6 linked regions of the Solanum lycopersicum genome follow. The protein of the gene in region 3 interacts with the protein of the main gene of each other region in a pairwise test. Links are inferred from orthologs where the notes say so. Each region holds a gene or a part of one and is shown on either strand. Other genes may lie near its edges. The genes, in order: SWI3B, nuclear transcription factor Y subunit A-7, KN1, 26S proteasome non-ATPase regulatory subunit 8 homolog A, BEL1-like homeodomain protein 9 and E3 ubiquitin-protein ligase BRE1-like 1.

Evidence for each region.
Region 1: the proteins of KN1 (region 3) and SWI3B interact in binary tests that used the Arabidopsis thaliana proteins (3 or more experiments, as listed by UniProt). The link is inferred for Solanum lycopersicum from reciprocal best matches to the Arabidopsis thaliana genes KNAT1 and SWI3B.
Region 2: the proteins of KN1 (region 3) and nuclear transcription factor Y subunit A-7 interact in binary tests that used the Arabidopsis thaliana proteins (3 or more experiments, as listed by UniProt). The link is inferred for Solanum lycopersicum from reciprocal best matches to the Arabidopsis thaliana genes KNAT1 and NF-YA7.
Region 4: the proteins of KN1 (region 3) and 26S proteasome non-ATPase regulatory subunit 8 homolog A interact in binary tests that used the Arabidopsis thaliana proteins (3 or more experiments, as listed by UniProt). The link is inferred for Solanum lycopersicum from reciprocal best matches to the Arabidopsis thaliana genes KNAT1 and RPN12a.
Region 5: the proteins of KN1 (region 3) and BEL1-like homeodomain protein 9 interact in binary tests that used the Arabidopsis thaliana proteins (3 or more experiments, as listed by UniProt). The link is inferred for Solanum lycopersicum from reciprocal best matches to the Arabidopsis thaliana genes KNAT1 and RPL.
Region 6: the proteins of KN1 (region 3) and E3 ubiquitin-protein ligase BRE1-like 1 interact in binary tests that used the Arabidopsis thaliana proteins (3 or more experiments, as listed by UniProt). The link is inferred for Solanum lycopersicum from reciprocal best matches to the Arabidopsis thaliana genes KNAT1 and HUB1.

Annotation. Positions count from the first base shown.
Region 1 is NC_090803.1:68,202,191-68,207,208, reverse strand, and holds the start of SWI3B (SWI/SNF complex subunit SWI3B), read left to right. Parts: upstream 1-1,862; 5' UTR 1,863-1,930; coding exon 1,931-2,165; intron 2,166-2,276; coding exon 2,277-2,701; intron 2,702-3,030; coding exon 3,031-3,402; intron 3,403-4,286; coding exon 4,287-4,425; intron 4,426-5,018. UniProt on the Arabidopsis thaliana protein: Component of a multiprotein complex equivalent of the SWI/SNF complex, an ATP-dependent chromatin-remodeling complex, which is required for the positive and negative regulation of gene expression of a large number of genes.
Region 2 is NC_090801.1:55,885,729-55,890,175, reverse strand, and holds the end of nuclear transcription factor Y subunit A-7, read left to right. Parts: intron 1-1,610; coding exon 1,611-1,718; intron 1,719-1,808; coding exon 1,809-1,973; intron 1,974-3,040; coding exon of another isoform or gene 3,041-3,103; exon of another isoform or gene 3,104-3,107; intron 3,108-3,165; coding exon of another isoform or gene 3,166-3,208; coding exon 3,209-3,394; 3' UTR 3,395-3,672; downstream 3,673-4,447. UniProt on the Arabidopsis thaliana protein: Stimulates the transcription of various genes by recognizing and binding to a CCAAT motif in promoters.
Region 3 is NC_090803.1:63,958,995-63,964,100, reverse strand, and holds the start of KN1 (homeotic protein knotted-1), read right to left. Parts: upstream 3,345-5,106; 5' UTR 3,172-3,344; coding exon 2,824-3,171; intron 2,314-2,823; coding exon 2,191-2,313; intron 1,845-2,190; coding exon 1,709-1,844; intron 1-1,708. UniProt on the Arabidopsis thaliana protein: May play a role in meristem function, and may be involved in maintaining cells in an undifferentiated, meristematic state, and its expression disappears at the same time the shoot apex undergoes the transition from vegetative to reproductive development.
Region 4 is NC_090807.1:67,621,944-67,626,769, reverse strand, and holds the start of 26S proteasome non-ATPase regulatory subunit 8 homolog A, read right to left. Parts: upstream 3,361-4,826; 5' UTR 3,238-3,360; coding exon 3,133-3,237; intron 1,434-3,132; coding exon 1,355-1,433; intron 705-1,354; coding exon 602-704; intron 266-601; coding exon 2-265; intron 1-1. UniProt on the Arabidopsis thaliana protein: Acts as a regulatory subunit of the 26S proteasome which is involved in the ATP-dependent degradation of ubiquitinated proteins. May help to control the degradation of one or more factors that repress cytokinin signaling.
Region 5 is NC_090808.1:5,213,122-5,217,984, forward strand, and holds the start of BEL1-like homeodomain protein 9, read right to left. Parts: upstream 3,271-4,863; 5' UTR 2,982-3,270; coding exon 2,421-2,981; intron 1-2,420.
Region 6 is NC_090810.1:7,003,362-7,008,305, forward strand, and holds the end of E3 ubiquitin-protein ligase BRE1-like 1, read right to left. Parts: intron 2,737-4,944; coding exon 2,599-2,736; intron 2,525-2,598; coding exon 2,322-2,524; intron 2,219-2,321; coding exon 2,053-2,218; intron 1,266-2,052; coding exon 1,134-1,265; 3' UTR 868-1,133; downstream 1-867. UniProt on the Arabidopsis thaliana protein: E3 ubiquitin-protein ligase that monoubiquitinates H2B to form H2BK143ub1. H2BK143ub1 gives a specific tag for epigenetic transcriptional activation and is also prerequisite for H3K4me and maybe H3K79me.

The sequences.
Region 1 (5,018 bases), about 4.2 Mb from region 3:
GTTTGTCCGTGCTCCCCTACCCCCCTTCTGCATCTTTATCGATTATTCTTTTTTTTTTTGGGTGTGTATATGTGTGGTGGCGGTGGTTAAGTTCAATTGCTTGTATGAGGTAATATGAGGACCAAAACAGAAAGCAGGTATATTCTCTATGCAAATGACCGTATGTTAAAATCATTACATGGCTTGACTTATCCAAAATGAAAAAAGAAGGCATCATTATAGGGCCTCTTTCTTGGCGGGGACCTTCTTTGCCTGATCAAGGATACTGGGTTTGGGCTAACATGTTACTGTGTTTACAAGAACTCCCAAAGATGGTTTTGAATTTTCATTAAATTCGTCATGATGATGTTCCTCGGAAAATGTTTTTTTTTTGCAACCTACTATGTGTGGCAGGTATGATTACTGTCTGACAGGTATAATTACACATCAGATGGAGATGACAGATACTTGGCAGTTCTTTCTCGTTGTTGTCTTTATCTTTCTACGTACATAATTTGATTTTTGATGTGTTTTAATAGTAGTCAATGTCGTATCTTCTTATCATACATTTTAACAATCTCTTATGGCGTCCAAATAAGTAGTCTCTTTTCATGATTAGTTCAATTAATTTTTTCATTTGGTGCCAGCTTATATTTGCAATACTTAAGTATTTGAATTTGCTTAAAGGTCCTTTATGTGGTAAGCAGTCCCGTTTCAGTGCCATTTGCATGTCATCAATATGAATTGAAGCTGCTGAGGAGAATTAATGAAACTCTGAAATAATCTACTAATTTGATATGCAGCCCTTTAAAAAAAGGAAAAAGACACTAAAAAGTAATTTGGTGTATGTAGATTATGTAGCAAGGTTATCCTTCTCCTAGATATCACATATTAAAAAGCTATCAAACCTTTTCTAGTCTTAACGTCATTTGCGTTGATGCAGGTTATAAAAAGTCATACCCACACCATGAGAGCTCAATGTCTGAGTCGCTCCTGATGATTGAGTGAGGAAACATGGAAGTTGCGGATTGCACTTCCTTCAACATCATGTATCTAGGCCCTTGCATTCTGCTGGTTTCAGGATCACTGGCAGAGAGTCATGCATTTGAGGGATACTGGAATAGGTTTCTGGCTCCCTCCTTGTAGCAATAAACTTTGTAAAAAATTCACATCAGAATCAACCTGTGATTCAGTTATAGTCAAAAACTCCCAGAATATGCTTTTGGGTGTGTAGATAGTCATTGTCTTGCGTGCTGGTGCACCATGCACCGTGTTTAAAAGTCTTGTGCATAAAAAACAAACAAGCTTTAGTCTTAAACTTGAGATTCATTCTGTAATTTGGATGTTTTATTGATGATTCTTGAAGCAAGAAGCTTCAGTTATTATCACCAAGGTTGGTGTGACATGACCATAATTTTGGGTGCAAAAGCAGTGTTGCATCATTTATTTGTGTTTGGTACTCAGAGCAGACTTTGCCAATGAAGTTTATATTATTCATTCCCCTTTAACCTATTCTGTTGAATATTACATCAACCATGTCAATGTCTCAACTCTCAAATTTGCGTTTGCTGTTCCTTTTCCTATATATTCAAATCTAGTTTTGTTTCATGATTCAGGTTTAGTGATTTAGTTGTCTTTCTTAAGGATTGCAAATCTCTTTCATACAAGGTATTATTCTTGTTTATAGCAATCTATCGGTCGATGTAAAACCCACAAAATAAAAATTAATAGGACGTTTGAGTTGTAATTTAGACATTAATAATTATTAAGTGTTTTTTTTTTTTAATTTAAAAAGGACACAAGCAAACCTATTACTAACTAAGCTATTGGTCAAAATAAAATTGGCCCTTCGTATAAATAAAACCTTATAATTGTCTGTTGATAGACCGTTTGTGCGTTTCATCTCCCAAATGCCTTGAGATTACACTTGTCTAAATTCTAACGCTTCAACATGCCCGAATCAGGCGAAATCAAGTCACAGGCAGCTAAATCTGACCCTCAAACTACCTCTCCGCCACCGTCGCAGCAACCTCAAACGGCTGCTTTGCCACTAAAGCGTCCCCAACAACTGGAATCGTCCCCAAACCCAACAACTCCTTCAGTCACCGATCCCAAAGACGTCACTCCCACCACTATCTCCTCCCGTATTACTGAACCTGATTTCATCTATATTCCCAGTTATTCCCGTAAGTCCCATCTACTTTTCAGCTTTTCTTTTCAAATTTGCTTCTGTATTTTTAGGGTGGAATGGATATAGATGATTCGTGATACTTAATTAGTTCTTCTTCTTCTTTTAGGTTGGTTTTCATGGAATAGCATTCATGAATGTGAGGTTCGCTTTCTTCCTGAATTCTTTGATGGAAGGTCGCCTTCCAAGAACCCTAAGACATACAAATACTATAGGAATACTATTATTCGTAGATTCAGAGATAACCCCACTAAAAAGATAACCTTTACTGAGGCTCGCAAGACCATTGTTGGAGACGTCGGCTCAATTCGTAGGGTTTTCGATTTCTCAGAGACATGGGGTTTGATCAATTACACTGCTAACTCTTCCAAGTCTCTGATCAAGTGGGAAGAAAAAGAGTCAAAGTCAACATCTGCCTCAGCTCCGCAAAATGCTGACGCCAATGGAACGTCCACTGATTTTACTCTCCCCAAGAAAAGAATCTGCAATCTCTGCAAAACAGTTTGCAGGATTGCTTGTTTCGCTTCTGATAAGGTGATTGCAACAGTCCTCTATTTTAGAGTGTTTGCTTTATCTTGTTTATTCGTAAATTAGAAGGACTAATTGGTATCTAACAACTCTTTTGAATCAAGTTTGAATCTTTTAGCTTCTCCTCAGTTGGTCATGCTTACCTCTTAGCTCTCACATCTCAGTCTATAGATTCATACTTTTCATAGCTCATGGTTTCTATTTAAAAAGTTCTCTTCTTTTTTTTTTCTTTTTTTTTTGCTTAATCCTAAATGGCAGTTTACTTGAGGTGTTGGTTGGGCTTGTTGCTATTGTCAAAAATGAGTTTACTTCAATTTTTGTTTGTTTAAATGCAGTATGATTTGACTCTTTGTGCAAGATGCTATGTTAGTAATGATAATAGAGTTGGCGTGAATAATTCAGAGCTTCGACGGGTTGAGATTAGTGAGGAAGTTAAGACAGATTGGACTGACAAAGAGACTTTGCACCTTTTAGAAGCTCTTATGCATTATGGCGATGATTGGAAGAAGGTTGCTGAGCATGTTGGTGGCAGAAGCACTAAGGAATGTGTGGCTAGATTTGTCAAGCTTCCTTTCGGTGAGCAGTTTATGGGCCCTCCTGAATCTGCAGAAATGGATAGTGAATCCAGGTCTGAAACTATGTATCTTCAATCTAAGAGAAGGCGCCTCACACCCTTTGCTGATACAAGCAACCCAATTATAGCACAGGTACTAAGTCACATTTCTTATTACATGGATGTTTTAGGATGTTAGATCAGTGTTTGGGAAGCAAGAAGCAAAAAACAGCGACAAGGGTTCGCTTTACAGAAGCGAGAAGCGTGAAGTTTGCGCACACTTTTTTCAGATAAAGCGGTATTTAGTATAAAAATAATAAAAAATATTAAATAACTGAATAGAAGTAACATATTCCTAGATTAAAAAGTAAATAGATTGTCAATAATCCTCGTGAGTCATAACATATAAAACAAATACATAACCAAATCACAAAGGATCAAACTCTTATTCTTCATTGTGACATTGAATAAGAAAATACAACTTACTACAAGCAAAGATAAAAGAGTAACTCAGTAATAGAACAACAAAAATACTGTAGAAAAAAATATAGAGACAGAACAGATCAGCAGCCAGCAAAAAAGAAAAAAAAAAGAAAAAAACAGAGCAGCAGTAAGTCAGTTAGATATACATGTTCTATTTAGTATTGTGGACCTTGAATATTAAAAAGAAACTGGACATCTGTTAAGTGCTTGTGCATACAATATTCCCTTGGATACTTTGCAAGTTCAATGTAGTTGCTGAAGCAATTCCAATTTCTACGCTATCAAGGGAACTTCGGTTCCCATCTGACTTTGAATTATTTACGTAGATCTTAAGACGTTCTGCTGAAGCAATTTCAATTTCTACACAATCAAGGAAACTTTGCTTCTCATCTTACTTTGATATGTTATATAGATCTAGGGTCATTCTTCTCCCTCATTGACTAAGAGTCTTTTGGGCTGCTGATTTCTTGAAGTAGACAAGTTGATTAATTAGGTCTTTAATAATAGTCAAGTTAGACTTCAACTGATTCCTCTTGTTTTTGAATCTTGCTGCAGGCTGCTTTCCTCTCTGCTCTTGCTGGAAAAGAAGTTGCAGAATTAGCAGCACATGCCGCTGTTACTGCTTTGTCTGAGATTGGTGAAGGAATAACAACAGGGAGTCTAGAATCTGTACTCTGTGGTGCAGAGCGGCAAGGTATCCCTATTATTTGTTGTGGTTTCAACAGAGAAATCCCTATTACTGCAAACTTTTTTGATAAGAGTACTACTGCAAACTTTAGACATATGGGGTGTCAGCTTCATAAGAAAGGAGTTTGTCTAAAGTGAAATCTGATGCAACTCTTGTCTCTTGGTTTGTGCAGTAGTATTAGCGCATTTGCAATGTTAATTAATGCGTCTTCTTGGTGCATTGTTTGCTGCATTCTTTGACAACAACTTTTGGAATGTAAAATGCCAAGGGCCATCTTTACTGACATCCTTGTTTCATTTACAAGGATGTATTGTGAAATTTTTGTCTAGCCTCTTTGTTCCAACAGGATTGGCGGGCATTAATGACCTTGATACTCAATTGACTTAGAATGATTAAACTACATGAGAACTTCATCGATAACAAGACCAAGACAAGAGGGGCTTTTACCCTCCTCCTCCCTTTATTTTTATTTTTTTTGTCTTTTTTATTTGGCTTCACCCCAAGCAGTACTTACCAAAAGACTGGTTTATGGAGATTTCACTTAGTACTTGAATGTCCATTGGCCTTTTAGCAAACTTCCTCTAATTGCAAAGCCAATA
Region 2 (4,447 bases), on a different chromosome or scaffold from region 3:
CTTTATTTTGGGAGATGAAGTGCACATGTTCATATTTGGCTATAATTAGAATGTGATATCGTTCTTCTCTTCATTAGCAGAGACACCACTTTGACATTTGTAACATCCAACATGAAACCGCATATATTTCTTGCCCAAATAGTTGGTTGTGCAAAAGCCTGAAAGCCAAGTTGATCATAAATATCTTAATGTGGGGCATAATGGAGCTATGATTGTGCTTATGGATTCTTGTATCTAGAGGTAAATTCATATGAAGCAAAATATATTATTTTAGATTTATGAATGATTAGTTGGATGTTTCACCGAACCTATAAATTGAAGAAAGTTGCTTGTTAGATAGCATTACTGAATACATTGGGGTCGTTCAGACTATTTGAGAAAGCAATAGGTGAATATGAACCTAAGAAAAGGATATTAATGCATCAAGTTTCTTTACTATTCCAAATGTTTTTAGTAGTAGGATGGAAATATTTCTACTTATAGATTGTCATGTTGTACACCTGGCGGATATAATAAGGGTTGTTAGTCTCTGATGAGGAAAATTTGTATATTTCTTGAAGATAGGGAATGACCTTTTTGTGCTTATTGCTTTTGATTAGTTGATGACTTTCTCTAGATAGGAGTTAGAAGTTAGAACCACTAATAAGAACATTCAGTTGTGAGAAGAAACACATGTACCCTTTCTAGTGTGTGCTTATACAAAGAGCATAAAGTTTTTGAATGGTGATGTTGTAACATTAAGAATAGATATTTCATGACTTCTCGATATTTACAATCCATCATTGTTGGGTTTGTCAATCATAACTGAAGAGACCTTGGGACGGAGAGTGATTTCCATTTTGGTCTTGTTTTCTGGTATTTTGATTGGTCTTTAAATCAGGTATGGTTGGGTTAGACACAAACACTTCAATTATAATCTCTCATTTCTGTTTTAGGCAACATCCTGTTTTACAAGCTTGTGTTATTTTATAACTAATTCTCTAGGCATTACTTCGTTTTCAGATTGCTCGATCTGTTTGTCACTCTCTACAACTGCACTTGCCACAATTTGGCTAAAATTTTCTTGTAGGTCTACTGGCCTAGAGTTTCATATAAGGTAAGTCTTTGTCCTATAGGAGGGTTACACTAGCAGAATTCTTTGAACACCATGGATAAGCTGATCTGAATCAACTAGACTCTTTATGCAGCAGCTTGAGCTTGAAGCATATAGTTAGTTACATAGTAAACACTTTTAAAATGCAATCCTTTTAAATTTTGCCATCTTTTCAGCTTTGTGAATGGAATTTAGTGCTAAAATTGTAAATCCATTGTTCCCTGTTTGGACTGCTGCATAAAGATTTTCCTGGATTAACCTGGAGCTGGATGTTTTATCTCCCTCCCTCCATTTGGCACACATAATAACCTGCAATCTTAAGTATTCTTAGTAGGACACTTATTTTTATTGGACACCTTAAACTAGAGGCTTCTGATAGAGATTGCAGATCTTTAAGGTACCAGTTGGGGAATATTTGAAGCCTGTTTCTATGCCTACTAATTTTATATTTAAGCTCTGTGATTGGTTATATCGAGTCTATTTTTCGGATAATAAATCTGCATCAATTTTTCATTAGTTGCAGGCTCAAACAGCTTATCCATATCCAGACCCATACTATAGGAGCATCTTTGCACCGTATGATCCACAACCTTATCCTCCACAACCTTATCCAGCACAACCAATGGTATTACATTTTCATAACACTTCTCATTTGGACTTCATCTATGAAATATCCCTATGAATTTGAGAGCTTAGTTGTGTCATTTTCTGTCAGGTTCACGTTCAGCTAATGGGAATTCAACAAGCGGGTGTTCCTTTGCCATCAGATGCGATAGACGAACCTGTTTTTGTTAATGCAAAACAGTATCATGGCATCTTGAGGCGTCGACAATCTCGCGCGAAAGCTGAGTCAGAAAAGAAACTTCTGAAAGCTAGGAAGGTATTTTGTCGAAAAATATTTTTCTGTATTTTTATTTGTTATACTATGTTGCTTTAGTATCCAATATTGCAATTTACAGGCAACCTTGACAGCTTGTTTGTGGTTCATCTGTTGATTTATCACTTCCTACTGTTAAGTGCTAAATAGCCTCCCAGATGATTCATGTTTGTGATGAACATATTTTAAGTGTCTGTGCATCTCTAGTGCTATTTTAAACACATACAGGGGTCGCTTGGTTCACTTATTAGCTATTTTAGAATTATATATATGAAATATTATGCCATTAATAATATATAGAAATTATTATGCAGTGAATAATGATGCGAGGGTTGTTACACATCAAAAAATAATATAGGGATTCTTATTCAGGGATATCTACTATGAGAGCATCTTTCTCAATATATCCCACATAAAATATTACATAGGTTTCTGCATAATTTAGGCCAATATTAGTAGTGCACACTTTAATTCTGGAAATATAAAGGCAATTTAGTAATGTAGAGTTCTATGTTGCAATCATATTTGTTACACAGAATTTTATATCATGATTGGATTTCCTTATGAGTCCCAATCAAACGACAAAACCATAAAATTTCCTTTACTAATAATATATACTGCAAGTGAAGTGTGGATAGCAGAGCATGAGAGAGACAGTAGAGCAAGTTCTCAAATGTATATTTTTTCTGGACTGTAACTATAATCTCCTCTATTTACAGTTGCTACGCATAAAAATCTAAATAGTTACTAGTATACCATATTAGTTTCACATTACATTGTACAAAGGTTCTGATGCAACAAAAGCTTTTAATTCTAGAACATCTATATTCTATATGATTGATCAATTGCCCATCAAAGTTTATATTGCTCTGATCTTTGGGAAACATAATTTTGATGCATTTTTTAAAAATAAAGTAAAATATTGTTGCTGGAGAACAGAGTGATTCGGTTCCCGATTCGTAATTAAGGATCTTTCTCCAAGCAAAAAATCCATTTTCTCTATGATTAATATGTATATGTCGAAAGTTATGGGTTCTGATCAATAATGTCTTCTACTCCCTAATAAATAGCTCAAAGATGGTTATCAACTGTGCTGGAAACATCTGCAAGATCCAATAACATACAGTTGGTAATAAGGTGCCTTACACCATGATTAGAAGTTCTAATATCTGTTTCTGAGGCTATGTTTTTCCAGCACGAATACCTTGGGAGGCTCACAGTGCAAAATAATCTTGCAGCCTTACTTGCATGAATCACGACATTTGCATGCATTGAAAAGAGCTAGAGGATGTGGAGGTCGTTTCCTGACAGCAAAGGAAACTGATAATCAGCAGAAACAGGATGAAACTGGTGATAAATCTCAAGTCAACATTAATCTCGAGTCTGGAAAAGACAAGGTCGCTTCTTCAGAGAATGCCTCTTGATCTATGCAATATCAAGGACTTTGTGGACCATAGTATGTTGTTACTGTTTGTAGAAACAGCAGTGCTTTTGTTAAAATAGAATTGTGGTAGCTGGGCAAAATCAGGGTAATTGTGGTGTTCTGTATGTTTATCTGAGTGTAGATAGATCGGAATAGGCCTACTCGTTTGAGAGCTACAAAGTGGCCGCTGGGCGTATGTTCTCTAAATACCATCTCTCTGAGCTTGTTTGTAGACATTCTTTCTTGTCCTTTCGTAATTGCCTTGTGATTCCTTCAAAATGTTGTTCTAGTAAGTGTATGGAATATCGAGTCAGAAATTTGAGTAATAACGTTTGGCACTACGTTTTGTTAGTTTAAGAAGATAAGCGTGCAGCACTGTTGGTTGATGAATTCTAATTTTCCAAGGTCAATGCATTCTGTGTCAATATCTTGGTTATCTATAACCATATCCGCTGCGATTATTGATTCTTGTGTCTTGCAAAGCAGCAGGTCTTGTATTTATATCCTGTTGTATTTACTTCTAGATATTCCTCCATATCTTGTAAAAAAAGTTAGAACTGTCAAGAGAGAAATTATAGTGTTGGTTGAGAAGTTTCTCTATTGTGTTACTAATCAGAATCTCCATTAATTGCTCGGAGTAAATTTCAAAACAGAGCACTTCAGTTGTATAACTTATCAAAAATAACAGATTGTTGGTAAAATATGGAGTGGTTGATACACAACCTTTCTTAAGGTTTTTTATGGAGAAACACAAGCTTATTATTATCTACAGATTCAGAACAAACTACGTTCATGCAGTTTATGAAAGTTATCCGTGAAATTTGTAAAAAAATATTGTAGAATAAATTGAGTGGTCATAAACTTATCTTAGTATAAAATTGAACCTATCCACCAACTAAACCAAGCATTGCAAATAATTTTATTAGGAAATATGAAACTAATATTGTACGATATAGAAATAACTCAATGCACTATTCATAAACCTTAATACTAAGAACCAAAAAGAGGCCTGGAGGACATGAATATTTTCAGCAAAAGGTTGCATAATTTTCGG
Region 3 (5,106 bases):
CTAAAAACTACCTTAAGATACATGCATGTGCTTACTTTTGCTTCTAAACACCACATTCCTTTTTAACTTCTTCCTTTAGGTTTAACTTGGCATACATTTTAAAATTTCAGTATATTAAAAGATATTTTCGTATTTCATCTTTAACATTAATTTATTAATCTTTCATCATTTTCCAAAGTCTACGAGTAGACATCAATTAGTATGAATAACAAATTTACTATACTAACCATACTTTGAATATAGCAAATTCATTTTTTTTTTTGCAAAATGCATTAAAAAGTGAATATTGTTAATGATTAAGATATAAATAATAAATTATGTCTTATTTTTTCAACTGGACATAAAGAAGAAGATAAAACCACAATTAGTTCATAAGAGGTGTACTGTAGGAGTCAAGTAGTTTCTGTTGAGAGTGTCAGATAAGTGTAGTGTAGAATTTATTAAGTGGGAAACAATATTCACCATTAAGAAATTTGTCAGTGAATACACTGGACCGGACCCATAAAGTTAAAATCTAAATTAATTAATTAAACAAAGATTAGAGAAACAAACGTGTGGCTTCCTACATTTGTTTATATCTAGAAGATCTGTCTGTCTCTCTATTTGTTTATTTGCATAAAATGCAACCAATTCATTTCTTTTTTATAAACAATAGAGCACACACTATATATGCATGTATAATGTCAAAATGCATGACGTGGCTCAACAATTAATAAAGTGAATCGAGAATCTTTTGAGATTTCGGGTTCAAATTTTAATAAAGATATCTGTTATTTATCATTTCTTTGATAAATAGATTGAGCTGATAGTATTTTATTATGGGAGATAATAGATATTTGGTGAAATTAGGTTTCTGATTCAAATGATAGTAAAAATATTTGTTGTTTATCGTGTCTTTGATGAAAAAATTTATTTTATAGCTATTGATAATGAGAGATTATAGATACTTAGATGAAATTAATTCAGACGAATTTAAACTAGTCTAGATATCATGGTTATAAAAAAACAATTCACATCATCATATAGGCCCCATTCAAAAAATTTTAAGAATTTCTTTCATATTTAAAATTCGAATTCGAAATCACTAAAGGATAAATAACTTCATCTACCTGCACCACATTCAGTGGTTTTACTATTACTACTCTTCGTACACTCGTAAATAGGGTTTCTTACTCCATCGATGTTCTTTTGTATCTCTCAACAGAAAAAGCATTAATTGGAAATGAAGAATGATATTTTTTAGGGGGGGTCAAAGTTGTCTTGAACAGAAATAGCAATGCATTGGGACAAACAGTATTCAATGAACCAACAGTTTTTACACTGAACACACAAACAAAAGTTCAAATCATAGCCCTTAGTCTTTGGGTTTTTTTCTTCTTTAAGCACTCAAATATGAAATTTTTATCATTCCCTTAATTTATTCTTCTTGCATTCTTTCCATGCTTGGCAATTACCATGAAAGAACAAATTAAATTCAATTTATTCTTCTAGCATTTCCTTTTAAATTTTGTCTAAAACAATGTTATCTTACCATGTAGAAAAACAATATAATATTAAACTTTTGACTTTACTTTATTGAGATGATTTTCATGTTCAAGTAAATATTTATATGTTTTAACTTGTTTTAAGTTAGCAATTTTTTTTAAAAAAGTCTTTCTTTATTAAACTTCGTTTACAGTGTAATATTTATGAGAAAGAAGAAAATTACCAGAATTGAAGATCCGAACGGGAGCATTACCAAGCATATTAAGCTGAGCTTCAATCTTTTGCATGAACTCCATTGCCTCTTGAAGAGGCCTTGTTAATTCTTCTCTATACTTGACTAGCATGTCATAATATGCTTCCTGTATAATAGAGACGGATTTAGAATTTGAAATGAGAGCGTAGAGTTGGAGTTTGATATGTTAAGTCTATAATATTATTTATTTAGTGAATTTATCCAACATATATACTCCGAGTTTAATACTCTCTTGAAAATTTTTTTATTAGTGATTCATTTTAATAGGTTAATCTTAAAATTGACTGAATTTACTAAATCAGACAAAGTAAAAGGAAAATTTATTGTTAGTATAAAAGATAAATAAAATCAAAAGGAGCAAGCGCAAAAATTTAGATAAAATTACGAAATTAGAGAAATAAAATTCAATATGAGATAAGGATAAGGTCTGTTTCGAAAATTAAAAAACTAACCATGAACTGATCAAGTTCTGGGTCCTTGGAAACATCTCTGTCGGTCAACGAAGCTCGTTGCCTCGCCTCAAACTCTTGCCGTACCGCCGACAGCCTCGCCGCCACTTCCGGCGGTGCACCCACCTTTACAATAATTTTAACACTCAAATTAAACACACTATAGAGTAATTTATTTATCTTGTGATAGCAATATAAGCTAGAAAAAAAAATCAAAACAATACCATTTTTTTTAGTTTTTCTTTTGGGTATTATACATTTTGAGAATGCAAAAATGTAACATTAATCATAGTCATTTAAATTTTGAGGTTATAAATATAAAATTTTAATAGTAAAAGAAAATTATTTAAATTTTACCAAATAAGCAAAATTTTCAACATAAATATAGAATTTTCATCGATAAGTTACGAAATTCATAATAGGAACAAGTTAGAACAAATTTAGCAGATTTTATACGAGAACACAATCAAAATTAGGGGGAAAAAAACAGTCGGTGATTCACAGTCTTGATGGATATAATAAATTAGTATTAATATATGTTATCGCGATGTGACAAGTATCCATTCAATTAATTAAGCGTTTGTAAGCTGATTTAAACATCATGATTATTAAACGCGGAGAGTAAAATGTGTATACCTTTTGACAGTCCATGTAAGCATCCAAAAGGTTAGAACATTGAGGATGAGCTATAATTTTGGCTTTTAAAGCTTCGATTACTTCACCAGCACCAGCACCACCACCAGAAGTTTCCGTACTGTCATGATGATGATTACGAATAATCGATGGATAATGAAATGTATGGTTATGATGAGAAGTACTTCCTCCACCTTCTGTTTTTACTATCATCGGATCATAACAATCTCCACCTCTACCATAAATAGGGGCAGCACCACCAAGAACTTGATTTCCTCCATAAAAGAAATGACCTCTTTGACCTCCTGAATTTTCTCCAGACACATGATTATTATAATTATTATTCTCCATTAAATAAGGGGAAAAAAAACCCTAAATCAAGATGATGATGATAACTAAATAAAAACCCTATAAAAAAAAAGGAAACTTATTATTCCTCAACTACTAATTAAAGTTTTTTTTTCAACTACTCAACGAGATCTCTTTCTTATTGGCTAAAAATAAACAAATTTTGTGCATATTTAAATAAAGTTTATTATTATCATAAGATAGAAATTGGAAGGGATCTTAGAAGATTATTGTGGTGAGCAAGGAAGAAAAAAAAAAAGGAGGGGGGGGGGGTGTTACTAGTAGCGGCTGCGTAGGGTGATAAGACGTTCTTCCTTGAAGAAAAAAGAAAGGTGTGTATATATATATATTGGAAAATATATAAAAATGTACTCACCTTACATGAAAAAGCAAGAAAGACCACTAAATAGTTATAAAGAAAATAGTTTGTTACTTTATTTTATTTTTATATTTCAAAAGAGAGTTAATTTTTTAACTTTTTTTTTTTTGGGTATTTAATTGATTTTCAAAATTCTTATACGATGTTTTAAATATTTTACTGAAAGGTATTTGATGAAATATTGATGACAAAAATTAAAGTACAACTAGTAAAGTAGTTGAATTTGTATTGGAAAAGTTATATGGACGAAAATTGATGTGATGTTAAACATTTGAAACAAAATGAGTAAGAATAACGTATTTTTTAATTTTTTTTGCTAAGATTAAAAATACAATAAAAAATAGAAAAAAAATTTCACTCAAAGTTCAAACTAGTAATCTATATGCATTGATCAACAAGATAAAAACTTCTTTCATTCATATATATGATTTTATGTAAGTATTTTAATATATTCTATTATTAGGACTCACTAAATAGGGAGTGAATATCTTGAGTCTGAGTCTTGATTTTTGTAAGAGATGAATTGAAAAAAATGTGTGTAATGGGTTATTTTGACCCAAATGAATAAACAATGGTTATATAGAATAAACTTATTGATCTATAAATAATAGGAAGGAGACTTTATTAAACAACTCAATAACTTTGTATTTTTGTATATTGGGTGTATTGCTCTATGTTCGTTGTATTTTTCACTACGTACCTTTATTCAGTGGCAGAGGTTCATCTAAACCCTTTCGATAGAAAATTATATTGATTGAATCTCCCTCAACTATTTCGTCTGTCTATTTCTTCAAATTTTAAACCCCTTTATTAAAATTTCTAACTCCATTACTGAGCCGTATTTATAATTAACAACCAAAATAAACTAGGAGTATGAATCTATAAAACTAAACATAAATAGGAAAATATCACAAATAACAAATTCTAAACTATTGTGTTAAAGGCAAAAAAAACCTATCTTTTTTCTAAATACATGGAACATGTTGAATCACATAACAACGAAATTATACAAGTTGACTTGATTTCGAATTCAGCACACTACTGTTTATAAAAGGTATAAATGATTTTAGCAATTGTTTAGATTCTTTCATTTATGTCTTCGGATTGTGTCCTATAATCTTTTTGTTTATAAAGAATTGATATTATTCATTTCGACTTAAGTTGATTTGACAATGATTTTGTTTTGATTAATATTTTTGAACAATTTTCACATACAACAAACATAAATATTATTTTTGTATGTTATAGTTATAGTTTGCATAATTGCACTCCATAATACATATGATATGACTATTTCGATATACATATATATTAAAGAGCAATTGTATAATTTGATGGCTCCTCTTCGAATTTGTATAATTTTGCTGACTGACCATTTGTGTAAATTGTTGTCAGGCTATCGTTTGTATAAATTGTTGGTAGCCTCTCAACTCATTTTTATGTGTTTGTATATCTGTATAAAATTTGAATTTGTATACAATTGAATTAAAATAAAATATTCGTATATCAAATATCAATCTCTCTCTCGCTCTATACAAACATAAATTATACATTATAAA
Region 4 (4,826 bases), on a different chromosome or scaffold from region 3:
CCTCACAGTCTTTGCAAGCAGATCCATGAAATAGGCATAGGTTGCGTCAGGCACAGTCTGTCGTGCACTCAACACCCTGTGGTAAGCCCCTTCCATGAAGGATTGCTCTAATTCAACAGCATGCTTTATACATGGGTTGTCCAAAGCACTCTGTGAAAGTAACTCAAGTTCGGTGTGGAACTCAGCAATCCTATTCTGAACAAGAAGCCGCAGAAGGTTGAGACCTAAGATAGGGTATTCCTGTGGGGAAGCTGGAAGACGGCCACTGCATCACAAGAAAAAGACGAGGAGCACCTTCTTTTCAGTTCAATTGCTATGCATTTATAAAACAGACTCAACCAGCAGATCTTACTATGACAAGGGTAAGGATATCACAAGCATAACTAGAACGATATAAACATACCCCACCCCAACTCTGCCCCAAGGCAGTTTTTCCTTCACCCTCAGTATCAAATAGTTGAAATTGGGTTCCAAAGCAAGCAAGAGAGGAATCTAGATATCAAACTATGCAACACTTGATATGTGTATTTGCTTTGCCATTTTCTCAAATAAGTACAGAAGATGAAATGGCATATGGAACTAAAGCTTGAGAAATAGTTACCGTGCATCTGTGTAATATGGTTTTAGCTGAAAGAAGTCCCTCTCGAAAGCATCCTGGTCCTCCATCTTCACAGATAAAACAACTGCATGCTCGTAAATATCTCCTGTGAATTGTTATACCATTGAACACTATTAGTGTGACTGTGAGAACCGTGAACTTTCACCAAGCTCCAAATTCAAATGGCTTAAATCAATCATATAATATTAGCAAGCCAACAATCTCGAGAATAAGCAAATCTAATAATAATAATATTAACAAGCAAGCAAACAAACAAGTCTTTGTCTTTCCTATGGTTGCAGAAATACACTGAAATGGCATCCCGCCATCCCGCCTAACAAGGATAAAAATGCTCTATATTCAGATGACCTCATGGAATACATGTCCTGCATTTTATTGAAGAATATTTTATATTTATTTATCTTTTTGATGAAGTAAATGATTATTGAAGAATATTTTCTTTTTACTTTTAATGAGATAACGAATGTATCAAATTTGTTCAAACAAGCTATTCCTTTTCCTTTAGTTTTTTTTTTGGGGCTTGAAAAAACAGCTTCACTGCCTTCGAATTACACTTCCCATTGTACAGCATATGGCATATTAGTGGAAGAACTGAGCACTGCATCTCCAAGATAATGTACTTACAATTCATAGATAATCATAATACACAATCAGCAACCAAGCACCAGCACCTTCAGAAGCAATTAGGCAACATAATGAAAAGCAAATAAAATAAACAAGAGTGCAGAACATTACTTGCAATTGTCAACTCATGGATGGCATTAGATGTTTCTTGGAATAGGGGCGGTAAGCTCGTGAAAGAGGTCAGAAGAACCTAAAATGTCAAAATAAAATAACTCGAAGTTATAAAAGACATTTACACAACCGATCTGAACAAGGTAGAGAAGTCCTTTATCATGAAAATAAGAAAATACAAGGTAGATAAGTCATTGCTATATCTTGAATCTCACAAAGACAATACACATTAGGTACCTCATATACTCAGTGAATCAACTACGTTGCAATCCCAAATTAAAGGTCGCGTATACTGACTACTTTATATAAATTCTGCTTTGTGTGGCTCATCTCATTCCAATACTCAATTAGGATTTCCCTAAAACCAGAGGTTCTCTACATCTCACACTTGCAAGTGAATCAGTCCAGCTTGTTACAAGACCCGGTGATAAAAAGTAACTAACCCTGCATTTTCTCCTTTTGCATATGTTCAAGGAAAATACGAGATAGAATCGACTTTTTAAGTTGAATATTTCTCTCATTTGAAGCTTGATGTAAGAAATTGCATTTTATAGTACTTTTCTTATAGTTTTTAAATATCCAAAGTTTTTGTTTAAAAAATCGAATTGATGTAATCTAATTTAAACTTTGAAAGTAAGTCAAATTGACTTTCAAAAAGCACAACATGACAAATAAAAGTGGATGGAGGGAGTATTTTTTATCTTATCTCCTACCAAGGTAAATCTTGAAGAAAGTTCCCTAAGCTGTTTCGAGTTAATTGAACATGTCAAACAGTTACACAACATGGGCAAAGTTATCAAAGTATAAGCTTGAATATGTGACGAAGGTAATCATAAAGAGAAATATTTTTTATAACCAATAAGTTCCCTGATAGTTAATTGGCCCACTCCTGTCGGGGCACAAACTTGACACTTGGGGTAGCATGTGCCCATACCTCTGCCCTGCTATTTAAATACCAACTTTACTCATTGACAAGATTCAAACTTGTGGTGGGTGCCTAACATAGATCTAACGTTGTACTTCCTTTATGTTGAATCAAAGTCTTGGTGGCTATATAAGAGAGAAGATTTCTAAGGCGACAAAACAGAAATCATTGTGACGGTACATTTCATAATAAGAGCTAAATTATGACAACAGCTTAGGCTTTGGAAAAGTTTGCGCTGTGTTATTGATTTCGATTAACTGAGCTGAGAGACAGCCTACTGCAAGTATGAATATAATTCCTAACAGAATGGTCGAATGTCGTGATAAACGCAATCATAAAGCAGCAGAGAAGAAAACTCTACATAAAGTACAACTCAGAAGATGAGTAAGATTGCGACAGAAAGCTACGGTTTTCAATGAGTTGTTCACCTAGGTATATCATATTCATGTGATTACCCTGAGCTAAGATAGTAGCCCATTACAAACTATCAACTTCGCTTCAACATAAAATCGACATATATATCATTATACTTGAAGAGTGTATCTAACCATTCCTTCTACATTTTCATAAAATGAGCAAAATTTAGAACGAAAAGCTAGGGTTTTCGCCGCATTCACCTATGGTAATATCATAATGATGCGATTACCTTGAGCTAAAACAGTAGCCTAATACAAGCATCAAAATCATTCCGCATAAAATCGGCATATAAATCACTATAATTATCACCATACAAGTGCGATAAGCCAATTAAAGACTAACACCTCTAAACATCTCACATTTACATGATTTGAGCAAAATTTAGAAAAACAAACTAGGGTTTAAACAATGATAGATGATGATTTGATGCGATTACCTTGAGCTGGGAGAGTAGCCTAGTGCAAGCATCAAAATCGTTACGCACAAAAGCAGCTTTGAATCGTTCGAAAGTCTGTGAAACTTCTGTAATCTTTGGATCCATGTTCGATCTCTGTTCAGAGCTTTTTCTTCTCGGTCTCTGTAGAAGGATTCTCTTCTTTCTTTACAAGAAAACGGAGGAAGAAAATTGGACGATTTTTCTTGGTGTTCATATAAGGGGCCTGAAAGCCCAACGAAGAAGTTCATGGGCTTTTGTGTTGGGCTGATTTCGGTTGGTTGGATTGAATTTGAACGGACAAAATGGATTAAAATAATAAATGAGTTAAGACCTAATTGAATTCAAATTTGTTTAGGCTAAAATGAATTGGATCAAAACGGATTAGTAATAAGTCATAACTCAATCGCTCAATTTTTACTAAATTTAAAATAATATTATTTATTATTTTACAAACTTTTGATACCTAATAAATGTTGTAAATCATAAATAATATACTACAAACAATATGGACAAGATATATTATTTGTTATTTTATAAACTTTTGATCCCTAATAAATGTCGTTTACATAAATAATATACTACAAATAATATAGATGAGATATATTATTTATTATTTTATAAACTTTAGATACCTAATAAATGTTGTAAAACATAAATAATATATTACAAACAATATAGACAAGATATACAAAAAAGTAAAATGCAGAGATCATATTATTCAAATATCTCCAAGTGTCTTTTACAATGGTAAACAAATATTCTTATTAATAGGTTTATAAATCATTTCAAAGACACCATGTTAAATGTCATAATAAATAGATATATTCTTATTGAAAATGATTAATGCAACCTAGTAAATACACATACATTGATGTATATAGTTCATGAATTGAGAATATGAACAATCCACTAATTCAATATATTCATATTATTGAAAATATTTTTTTCTTTATTATGAATGCCCATAATATATAAAGAAAAAAAAGTGATTTTAAAAATATTTTGATAAAGATTTTTCAAAGAATGATAATATATTAGGTGTGATTTGACATCAAAAGAGAACTTTCTCTCTCATTTAACAATATCGTATTTGATGTTTGTTCTTGACAGTGTATCCAAAGTTTAAAACTGTAGGTTCAAATAACACAGAACATTCATATTTTGATTTTAGTAATAAATAATCTTTATATAAGAGTAATAAAATTAAAAGGGCTACCTATAGGTAACCGTTCACACGTATATAAAAAATAAAATATTTTATTAAATAACAAAAATCCTTTCTTTAAAAAAATAGCAATATTTTCATTTTAAGTTCGGTTAAAATTTGTTATAAAGTCAAATGTCAACATCAAAAAAATAATTAAAGTTTAATATATTTAAATAAAATATTATTATCTAAAAAAAAGACACTTGAACAATAACACTTCAACTCAAAAGAAGTTTCTTTGGGAAGGATGTAGTACTCAATACACATTTCATTTGGCACCCAAATAATAACAACCGTGAAACCTTGCTATATACAACAGGTGTTTGCTGAAAGGTACTCTAATGAAACACACACTTTTGGAGATAAGTAAACAATTATGGAGATGACAGCTTTTGGCATATGAGTGTCCTATATTTCTAACTTCATTTATGTTGCTTGAAATTGAATAATTTATACAGAAAAATATTTTTCGTAGATCTAATAAATC
Region 5 (4,863 bases), on a different chromosome or scaffold from region 3:
GATTTTAGCAACTCTGAACACATTGATATCAATTCAATTGCTGCTAGAAGGAAAATTTGTTGTTATCGAATGTCCCTTTTGTTGTAGTGAACATAATTAAGTAAATATGTGTTGAATGTGAGTCATCAATATGAGATAGCCGGTTGATTTGTCAAATCATCGTTTAACTACTAGTTGTTATTATAGAAAATTATATTTACGTTCTAATTTTAGTTGTGCATAAATAAACACTGATATACTTATACAAAATTGAACACAAGTAAGTTACATATCGCACGAGACACTCAAATTGAAAAAATATTATAATAGAATCTTGAATCCATACGTTTCGATATGAAAGTAACTAGATTTATTAGAAGGAATTCTAACCTTTATACATAAACAACAATTACCACTTCAGTATAATCCAACCAAGTAAGATTTGAGAAAAAAAGTGTACGTAATCATAACTTTATGTAGAATATAGAAAAATTATTTTTGACAAAGTCTTAACTCAAAAAACAAACAATCCAATATAAAATTACCTTTTATACGATAAAAATATAAAATTAAATTAGACTACTACATACAAGTTCAAAAAACTATCAATAAATACAAAAGAAGTTTCAATTTAAATTTTTTATTGCTGCACAAATATCTTATATCATACTTAAGCGCACTAATTCTAAAATTTATATTTTTCGTTTAAGGTTAATTAAATTATATCACACGCTAAAAAAAGAAAAGAGGAGTATTTAGAATTTTCTTATCTATAATTGAGTAGGACACTTTAATTAAGGCACCAATTTTTGTGCATATATTCCCTAAATCACCTTTTCCCAAAAAGAAAAATTAGTGATTTATAAGAACCTGTACGCCTATATCACATAGGCATCTAGCCTGTGTAGCCTTTAATTCAATAATAAATTACACTATAAAATATCATTTAGTATATCTAATATAGGTAACAAATATTTTTTTATTACTACCATTTTAACTAAAAAAAGATTTATCACAAAATAATTACTCCCTACCTTTCTTTTTACTTATTCTTCTAAACGTTGTACCCTCCCTCGAAAATTACGATGGAGGATATTATTAAATAAATAAAAAGTGTTCTTTTTAATAATTTAAATTTTTAGGTAAGATAATCATACACTTTAACATGATATCAGAGCAGAATTGTACTTGACTATTAATTTTGACAATAGCCTACAAGAATGAATGATGTTTAAGGGAAATCAATTAACTCGTTTATTAAGTAAAAATATTTTAATAAATTATATTTTATTTTTTTGTAATTTTTTAATGAGCATGAAAAAAGTAAAAGCAATATTTGGAAGTAATATTAAAATGCTAAAAAGCTTCTAAATACCCAAAAAAATCTCATAGTGCATATTTGTACGGACATTAACGATAACTCATCACTTTAAAGAATCTCTTCTTTTTTTTTTTTTTTTAATTTTAACATATAGTATATGCTAGAAAAAGAAAAGCATTGGAGTTTTCATAGACAACAGCTGGATAAGAATCATAAGAAAAAAAGTGTAAAAAGTTAGGCAGTTGGATAATATATTTGGTTTGAATTTAAAAATTACTAATAAAATATAGTTTTATTAGTAAAATTAAAATTAAAAAATATATATAACTACTTTTTTTTTGAAATATTTTACTCAAAAAAATTTCAAATTATGATGGCTATACTTTTAAAACTTACCAAAAAGACTTGAGTAATTGCAAGCAAAGTCAATGGAGAAAAATATATGGTTCTATAATTAATGCAGAAACAAGCTAACTCTGAACTCCCCTCCCTACCACACATTCAATAAAAATTAAACTTTTTCCACAAAGAGAAAAAAATAAATCAAGCTAAGAAGAAAAATGTGAACATTAAAATTGAATAATCGGGTGCATAAATCATTCCGCATTCACAAATAGTTTAAAAGAAGAGTCGCACACTAGACACTACACCGGAGATCTATTATAAGAAAGTTGTGAATTACATTAAAATTCGTACGAAAATTTATAAAAAAATAAATTTCTTATAAATTTCAAAATACCTTTATTATATAATTAACACTTTTTTTTGTAACGTGAAATATATACCATTTATCCTAATTCAAATACAAATGTCTCTATTCACAACTAAAACACATAATTTATATGTTTCACAAAAAACAACTTTATCAATACTCAAAGTTTTACTTTTGATGTTATTAGCAATATCCTCCTAATTCAATTTGGTTTGACAAAAATATCATCATCAAACGCGAAGTCTCAAAGTTTGAATCTTGAAAATGAAAAAACATAAAATTCTATTAGTTGAATCTCAAAGCGAATATCAAATATCGAATTAGAAAAACAAGAATGTAGAAATACCAAAATTAAGAACCCTCATGACTATATGTATAAAAAGGAAAAATAATTAATAAAAGGTGTACCTCATCAAGCATTGAAATTAACCTTGATTTCTTTTTCCCAAATTGTTCCTCTCCATTAGTAAAACCTTGTGGAGTATCCATCATCAAATTAGAAGCATCATCATTACTATCATCAACATAAATCCCTTTAGTAACATGACACAATTCATCCAACAAAATCTGTGCTGGTTTCAAAAACTTTGATCTCTTTAAAATTGAAGAGTACCCCGTAAAAGGTCCAAGTGGTACACAACTAGTAGTCGTAGTAATACTCTTAGACGAAGACAAGTCATTATTATGAAGAGATGACAAAGACAAAGATAAATTACCTTGACCATTGCTATTACTATTACTATTAGTATTAGTATTATTATGATCAAGAAATCTTGGAATTTGAGATGTATATAGAAAAGGGTTACCATTAATTTCTTGAAAAATTGATAAATCTGAAGATAAAACAATAGATGGATCATAAAGAGGGGGGATTTGACAATTACTATTATTATTTTCATCAAGTAAAACTCTAAGCTTATCTCTTCTACTTTGTTGTGGGACATGATAAGGTTCAAATCCTTCAGCCATTTAATTTTTTTTTTAAGAAAAAAAATAAACAAGGCAAGAGAAAGATAAACAAGACTCTTTATTTAAAAAAAATAAAATAAGAAAGGAAGATGAAATGAAATGAAAGATGTGAAAATGAATAATAGTAGTGAAGAGATGTGGGTGTGATTGGATGAAGTGAAAGGCTAGAAGTAGTGTTATTATTGGTATTAGGATTTATGACAATATATATACTGATATCTATCAGTTTTGAGGTGAGAGAGAGAGAGAAAAAGACAATCAAATCAAAAGCTAGGTTGAGAGAAAATAGTGTTACACTCACTCATATATTAGACTAGGGGGTAGTTGTGGAATGTGCACTTCATGTAGCATAGCTGCAAATAATGTAGTGACACTGTTGGGTTGGTTGCTAAAGATAAATCAGACGACAAATAAAAATTTTATATCGATCTATATAAAAAAAAGATATCATAAATAAAATTATATTATGTTTTGATACGAGAAGAGAGTTATTCAATTTTTAGATTTTTAGTTTGATTTTTGCTTTATAATTTATTTTGTTTGTTTTTTTAATTTGGCTTATGATTTAGAAAAATGAAAATCGAAAAATAAAAAAAAATCAAATGATATATATATATAGAGAGAGAGAGAGAGAGTTAAGTTAGAGTTAACCATTTTTATTTTCATCATGATTTTAGTTTATTTTTATGTTTGGGCATTTATAATTGATATATTTTTATGTATTGTATTTTACGTTTTACTTGTGATGTATATTAAAAAGTATATTTATGAAATTCAATATTATATATATAATTTTTTTTTAAATTACAAATATAACTTTGTTATAATTCTAAATATTGACATAATCAATTAATTAAACTAAATTTATTTTGATTCGAATTAGGTTACACTTCTTCAAAACTAAAAACTCAAATCGAATAAAATAAAATCAAACGGAAAAATCAAATGCACACCCCTATAGTGTTCATTCAAGTAAGGAATAATTCAAATTTGGACAATAAATTATATATTTTTAAAAAAAAATTAAAATATTTATGATAATAGTATGATTTTCGTTCGCGAGGAAAATAAAACTTAAATAAGGTTTATAAAATCAGGAAAAAAAGTCTTAATACACATGAAGTTAAGTCAAATTATATTCGCACAACTTAATAACTTATGTTTTAACTTTTTATTTAATTATATTAATAAATTATTCAAAATTTAATGTTATTTTAAGTTGTTACATAATGCATTGAAGAACCATAAACAAGAATTAAAGTGTGAAATGCACTAATATATAAAATTATACCAAGAAAAATCTTTGGTCAAGGGAGTAAAAGGACACAATAGACCAACAAGTGTAGGATTTGTTTTAGATTTCCACTAAAAACTCCAGTAATTTGAAGTTATAATTTTATAATCGAAGAGATTAACTCAATATAGACAAGTTCAAGAAGGAAAATGATTTGTAATTCATTTCATTGTAAAAGTTGAAGGCAAATCAAATCTATAAAACGATCAAGAAGTTGAAAGAAAAAAGTATCTTGACAATCACAAAAATCGAGAGAATTTTTCCAGCAAAGTCAGAATGATAGGTATTGCATATTCACGAAATATATCATCTAGGGTGATTAGTCTTTGTTGATTTGTTCTAGGTTTATTATTGAGTTGTAATAATTCCTAGATTTGTAACAAGAAGTGAGTTTGACTTCTTGGGAGTTGAATCTTGAGAGATTTGTAACAAGAAGTGGGTTTGATTTCTTAGGAGTTGAGTCTTGAGAGAATTGTAACAAGAAGTGGCTTTGACTTCTTGGGAGTTGAGTCTTGAGAGAATTGTAAACAAAAAGTGGATTTGACTTCTTAGGTGGTTAGAGTTAGGAAGAGTTGAGAGCTTTTGTAA
Region 6 (4,944 bases), on a different chromosome or scaffold from region 3:
TGTCTAGAGTTTTCCTAGAGGGATATGATGTTAGGTATATTAATATGTGATCTTAAGACGTTATTTTCTTTGCATTTTTACCACTTTTAGGTGATACATCATGTTAAATACATGATTGTGAAGTATTAATCTAATAATTGGAGTTAGGATGATGCATATAGGTACTTAGGGAATGAAAATGTGCCTTTTGAGGAAGAGGATGGCTCGAGAACAAATTAGCGCTCAAGGAAAGGATGTTAAAAATTGGTTTGTGTTGGGTGGAGTGATCACCGCGATACAAGCTTATTCATTCAAACTGAGCACTTGCAAAGATGCACGACAAGGTAGTAACCAAAAAATACCCAAATTTAAAATCTTCCTTATAGTTGAACTAAGAGGAAACAAACAAACTCAATCACAACCGCTACAGCAACACAGGACATAATCAAAGATCTCGGGTTCGAGACCCAGGATAATGAAATAAGGGGTCGTTTGGATAGTAGTAATAGTAATGTACGAACTAATTATGCAAGACTTAGTTGGTCCATCTTTTACTTGGCATAAAATAATGCATAAACCCCCTCATGAATTATACATGTATTGGTTCGTGTGCTATATTCTATACATAGCAACTAAAATGCTACAGAACATGGTATTAGTTATGCTAGTTTTAATACATGAGTTTACTTCCTAACCAGCAACTAAAAATTGTGGTTTAAAAAAAAATTATGTTCACCTTTTCAGGCAATTGAGTGAGTATGGGGGAAAACCTATATACTAGGAGAAGCGATGGAGGGGGCGACAACGGGGTGAACAAACTCTATTTGAGGCAATGGATTGGGACTTAATAACAAGGCAATAAACAATAGAACTCAGCAACCAAAGATGTGAACTTAAGTGCATCCACTTAAATAAAGGAAAGGTTAATGAACAAGATCAACAACCTTGGACACGCACCAGCAAAAGATTAACAAAATCATTAACCTTTGGACTAGCACCAGCAAATCCATGCAGACTATCCACTTTCAACCACCAGAATTTTTTTCTGTTTTATGTTATTTCCTGCATAAATATATGCATAGACCATAAGTGAACGACAACCTTGCTTCACAACAGTGACATAATAAAAGGCCTAGACATCCTCATGTTTCTGATCAGATATAAACGGCCTTGACATCATTTGCTCCAAAGCTTGCAGAGCAGACAGGACATTTGCGGTGACGAGTCTCCACAATTTTTTGGATACACGGATTACAAAAGAGATGGTAACATTTTGCGAGGACAACCTGTAATGTAATAAAGAAAACTTAGCTCTCAGAGTGAAATAGGTATCAGATAAAGAGTCTAGCAAAGTTAAATTCTTTCCTCACTAAGGACACAATTACATGTTTGGAGAAAACTAGTTGAACCCAAGGGTGTGGCCTGGTGGTCAATGAAGCGGGTGCAAACCAATCCCGAAAAAAAAAACATAGGCATTATCTTTGTCATGTCTAAACAATAATAAATCTTTATAGGTAATGTTACCTAGTACCTGTTCTAGTGGGAAGTAGCATACCGATGGGATAGTCGAGGTATGAACAAACTGACCTGGACTCCATCGCTATCAAAAAAATATTTGGAGAATACTAGTTCTATTACCACCATGGCAAAAATTAAACCAACCACTGTAACAAGTTAGCTGTCAGGATCTCTTAGAATCTCACCAGATGGTGGACGTAAGCATCACTGTGCTTATTCACATCAGACAAGATCATGTAACAAATTAACACATGTTTGGTTAAATGTACTATTTTTTTGGTAAGGAGGTACTATTCGGTCTCACTACTGGACACTGGTTGTTCCCTAATTCAGAACCATGGATCTCATAACTGAAGAATCTCTTGGATATCGCCATACTATTATCTCAATAACCAATCTAAAGTAAGAACGCAATCTTTTCATCCCATCTGCTGCCAGAATCACAAACTTGCAACAGTGGATCCTACATCAGATGTGACATTCTATAGGTACTTTCAACTTCACCAAACTGATGCTGATCAACCAAATAAATAAGGAAAGGTCAGTCGGTCCAACCTCTTTGCGCCTATCAAAGCAAATACTACAATTGAGTATTTCCTTGTATTCCCTTAGTTTTTGCTGAAGCTTCTCAATAACAGATGACCCTTCAATGTGTGATCTCAAACGTGAAGTCTTTCTCCTCAGAGCTTCTACATCCTCCTCTGCTCTTTTTCTCTCAAACCTAGCCAAGTAAAGCGAAGATCATATAATAAAGGAACATATGAGAGTATTGGTTTAAGATAAATTCATAATGGGTATACAGACAAAGGTTAACCTTCAGTTACCTTTCTTTCTCTAGTTCTATCTGCAACTGTGCAAGATCAACTCGAACTTCGTCGATCTTGGATTGCCATTCTTCCAGCGTCTCCCGCAATTGCTGGGAAGATTTTCTTACATCTAAAAACCGTTTTTGGGTGTTCTCTAAAGCAAGAGAATTCTGACCCCTATCTTCAGCAAGCTTCTGGATCAAGTCTGAGCATCCCCTCAACTGAAAGGAAATACATACACTTAAAGTCTGGAGAAATATAAACATTTGGCACTTCAGAGAAGATATGCAATTACCTGGTCATCAATTTTGGCAGCTTTCATTTCATAGGAACTGACCATTGTATTGGCATCTTCAACTGCTCTCTCTGTGATTTGACTTTCCCAAGCCAAACAATCCCGCTGTTGTCTTGCCCGTACTCCTTCTAAAACAAGCTGTAGAACAGGAAATAAACTAACCACAGTGTACAACATTGGCAGCAGTAGAAACCTGAGACACTAGAAATGCACAGACAGAACGTTTTTTGGAGTACTCTTGAAGCGATGTAAGGAAATTTGTGGATGCGAAACTCTAAAAACCCAACATATCCATGTAAAGCTACAGAAATGTGTCTAAAGTAGTCCTATAAAAGGAACTAATTCTGCAAACATCTTAACCATGAGGGAAAAAAAGAATAAAACAGGCATATAATGCACAACACAATGCTGGAATCTCCCCGGCATCAAAGCAGTGCGGGACAAATTAATGCCACATTCATTGTCAGTCTTACTGAGAATGGATAACAATGAGATTCAATCAAATAAAGCTTAAGAAAAGCAAACCAGGTGCTATTTTTTAAAAGTGGTAATACTGGCCAATCCACTACCGATTAGCCAAGTGTTTACCCTCCCCTGTTCAAAGATAAGTTGGGGTCATGGAAATAAGATCTAACAACAGCTACAAGGAGGAAAAATATTTACACAGATTAGTGCATGAAAATCTAGAAAAGAAAACCCTAACAGGATAAGTTTAAAAATGTAATGCATACAGAAAGGTTGAAAACAAGAAGGCATTCTGAATTAAGAACAAAAAAACAATTAAACAAATAACCCAAGTTGTAGAGTCAGACCAGAACTACCATGACTGAATGGAAAAAAAAGAAAAAAAAAAGAATAATCGCCACAGATAAGGGGGAAATCAATTGAACACAAGTTGCTGTAAATGTCCACGACTTCAGCATTGTCAAAGGCTCGCTTTACACACACTTAAGCCTTGAGGCTATGTGCAAAGTAGTTGCCCGTGCCTCAATTGAGGCCTCAAGGCACTAAAGCATATGCTTTTTCGCCTATAAGTTTTCTTGAAGAGATTTGGCAATAAAGAATAAATATTTCACCTAATATGATATTTTATATTATTTTGTCTAGATAACTGTTTGTTTGCATCTAGAGCCTTTCTTTCTTAAGGGGCTAGCACTTCGTCTGCACTGGCTCTAGAAACCCACTATAATTTTTATCCTTTTCACCTTTGATGAAACTGCTTATTACTCTTGACCATATGTATACACATTTTTTTTACTTATTTTTATTACCCTTTCTTCATTAATGCTCTCACTCTATATTTGTGCTTTGAACACCAACTGACCTCGACTTTTTCTTTCACTCTACATCTTTGACCTTTGAGAACTTGTAATGAGATAATGTGTTGTTCACTGCCAGGTCTTCTACCAACTCTTCAGGCTCCTTGCTATAGTTGTGAGGTAGTCAGTGAGGTTACATGCAATTTGGTTGAAACTTGAAAGCATTCTTACAGTAAAAGATTTTCCAAACTTCTTAACGGTTAAACTACTTTCACTCATTGTGGTTTAGATGTATAATTCTAAGTACTTTTCCCCAAATAAATGTTTATAAGAGAAAAATGGCTGAAGAAAGATGGCCATGGAATTAGCAGCAACTAAATGAGTTTACTGAAAACAAATCCGAATCTGTAAAATTAGATGCAGTAACAAAGTTGCAATGGAATTATTATTTTTTTTAAGCTCGTAACTAGTTACATCATTTTTTCTTAATGACCGTGGTGTCTAGGCCAGTTTTCGCACCTATCGACGAAGGCTGGGACAGATGGAAAGAATCACCTAGTGTTTTTTGTCTCCACTGAGTTTTGAACCTAAGACCTCAAGGTTCTCAACCACTTCATTAACCACTAGGTCACAACCTTGGGTGCAGTTACATCAGAAATATTATTACCCTTAAACAATGTAAATCATTCATCAGAAAACAATGAAAATCCCTAAGCAATATTAACCACTTTTCCTCCGTTGACATATGATTAAAAGGAAAAGCAAAAGTTAATCGCTGGAGAACAACACCATAAATACTTCACATCTGACAAATGAAGTCTAACGAGAAATATCAAAATCATACCCCACTTCCTAAAACTTTAGTGACTCCACCTCACACATGATGAAAATAATTGACTCATGAAGCATCTAAATTGAGAAGAAAATTCCAGCTTTCGCCAATTAGAAAATATAGGGAGGATGAAAAGACAAATAAAGCGCAGTATTAGGAAACAACAAACAGAATGCTCCCAGGCACATTTACCAATGACACTCTCTCCTACTTCCTAGGATTGCAACCTTCCTTTTCCGGTAGACTAGCCGGAAA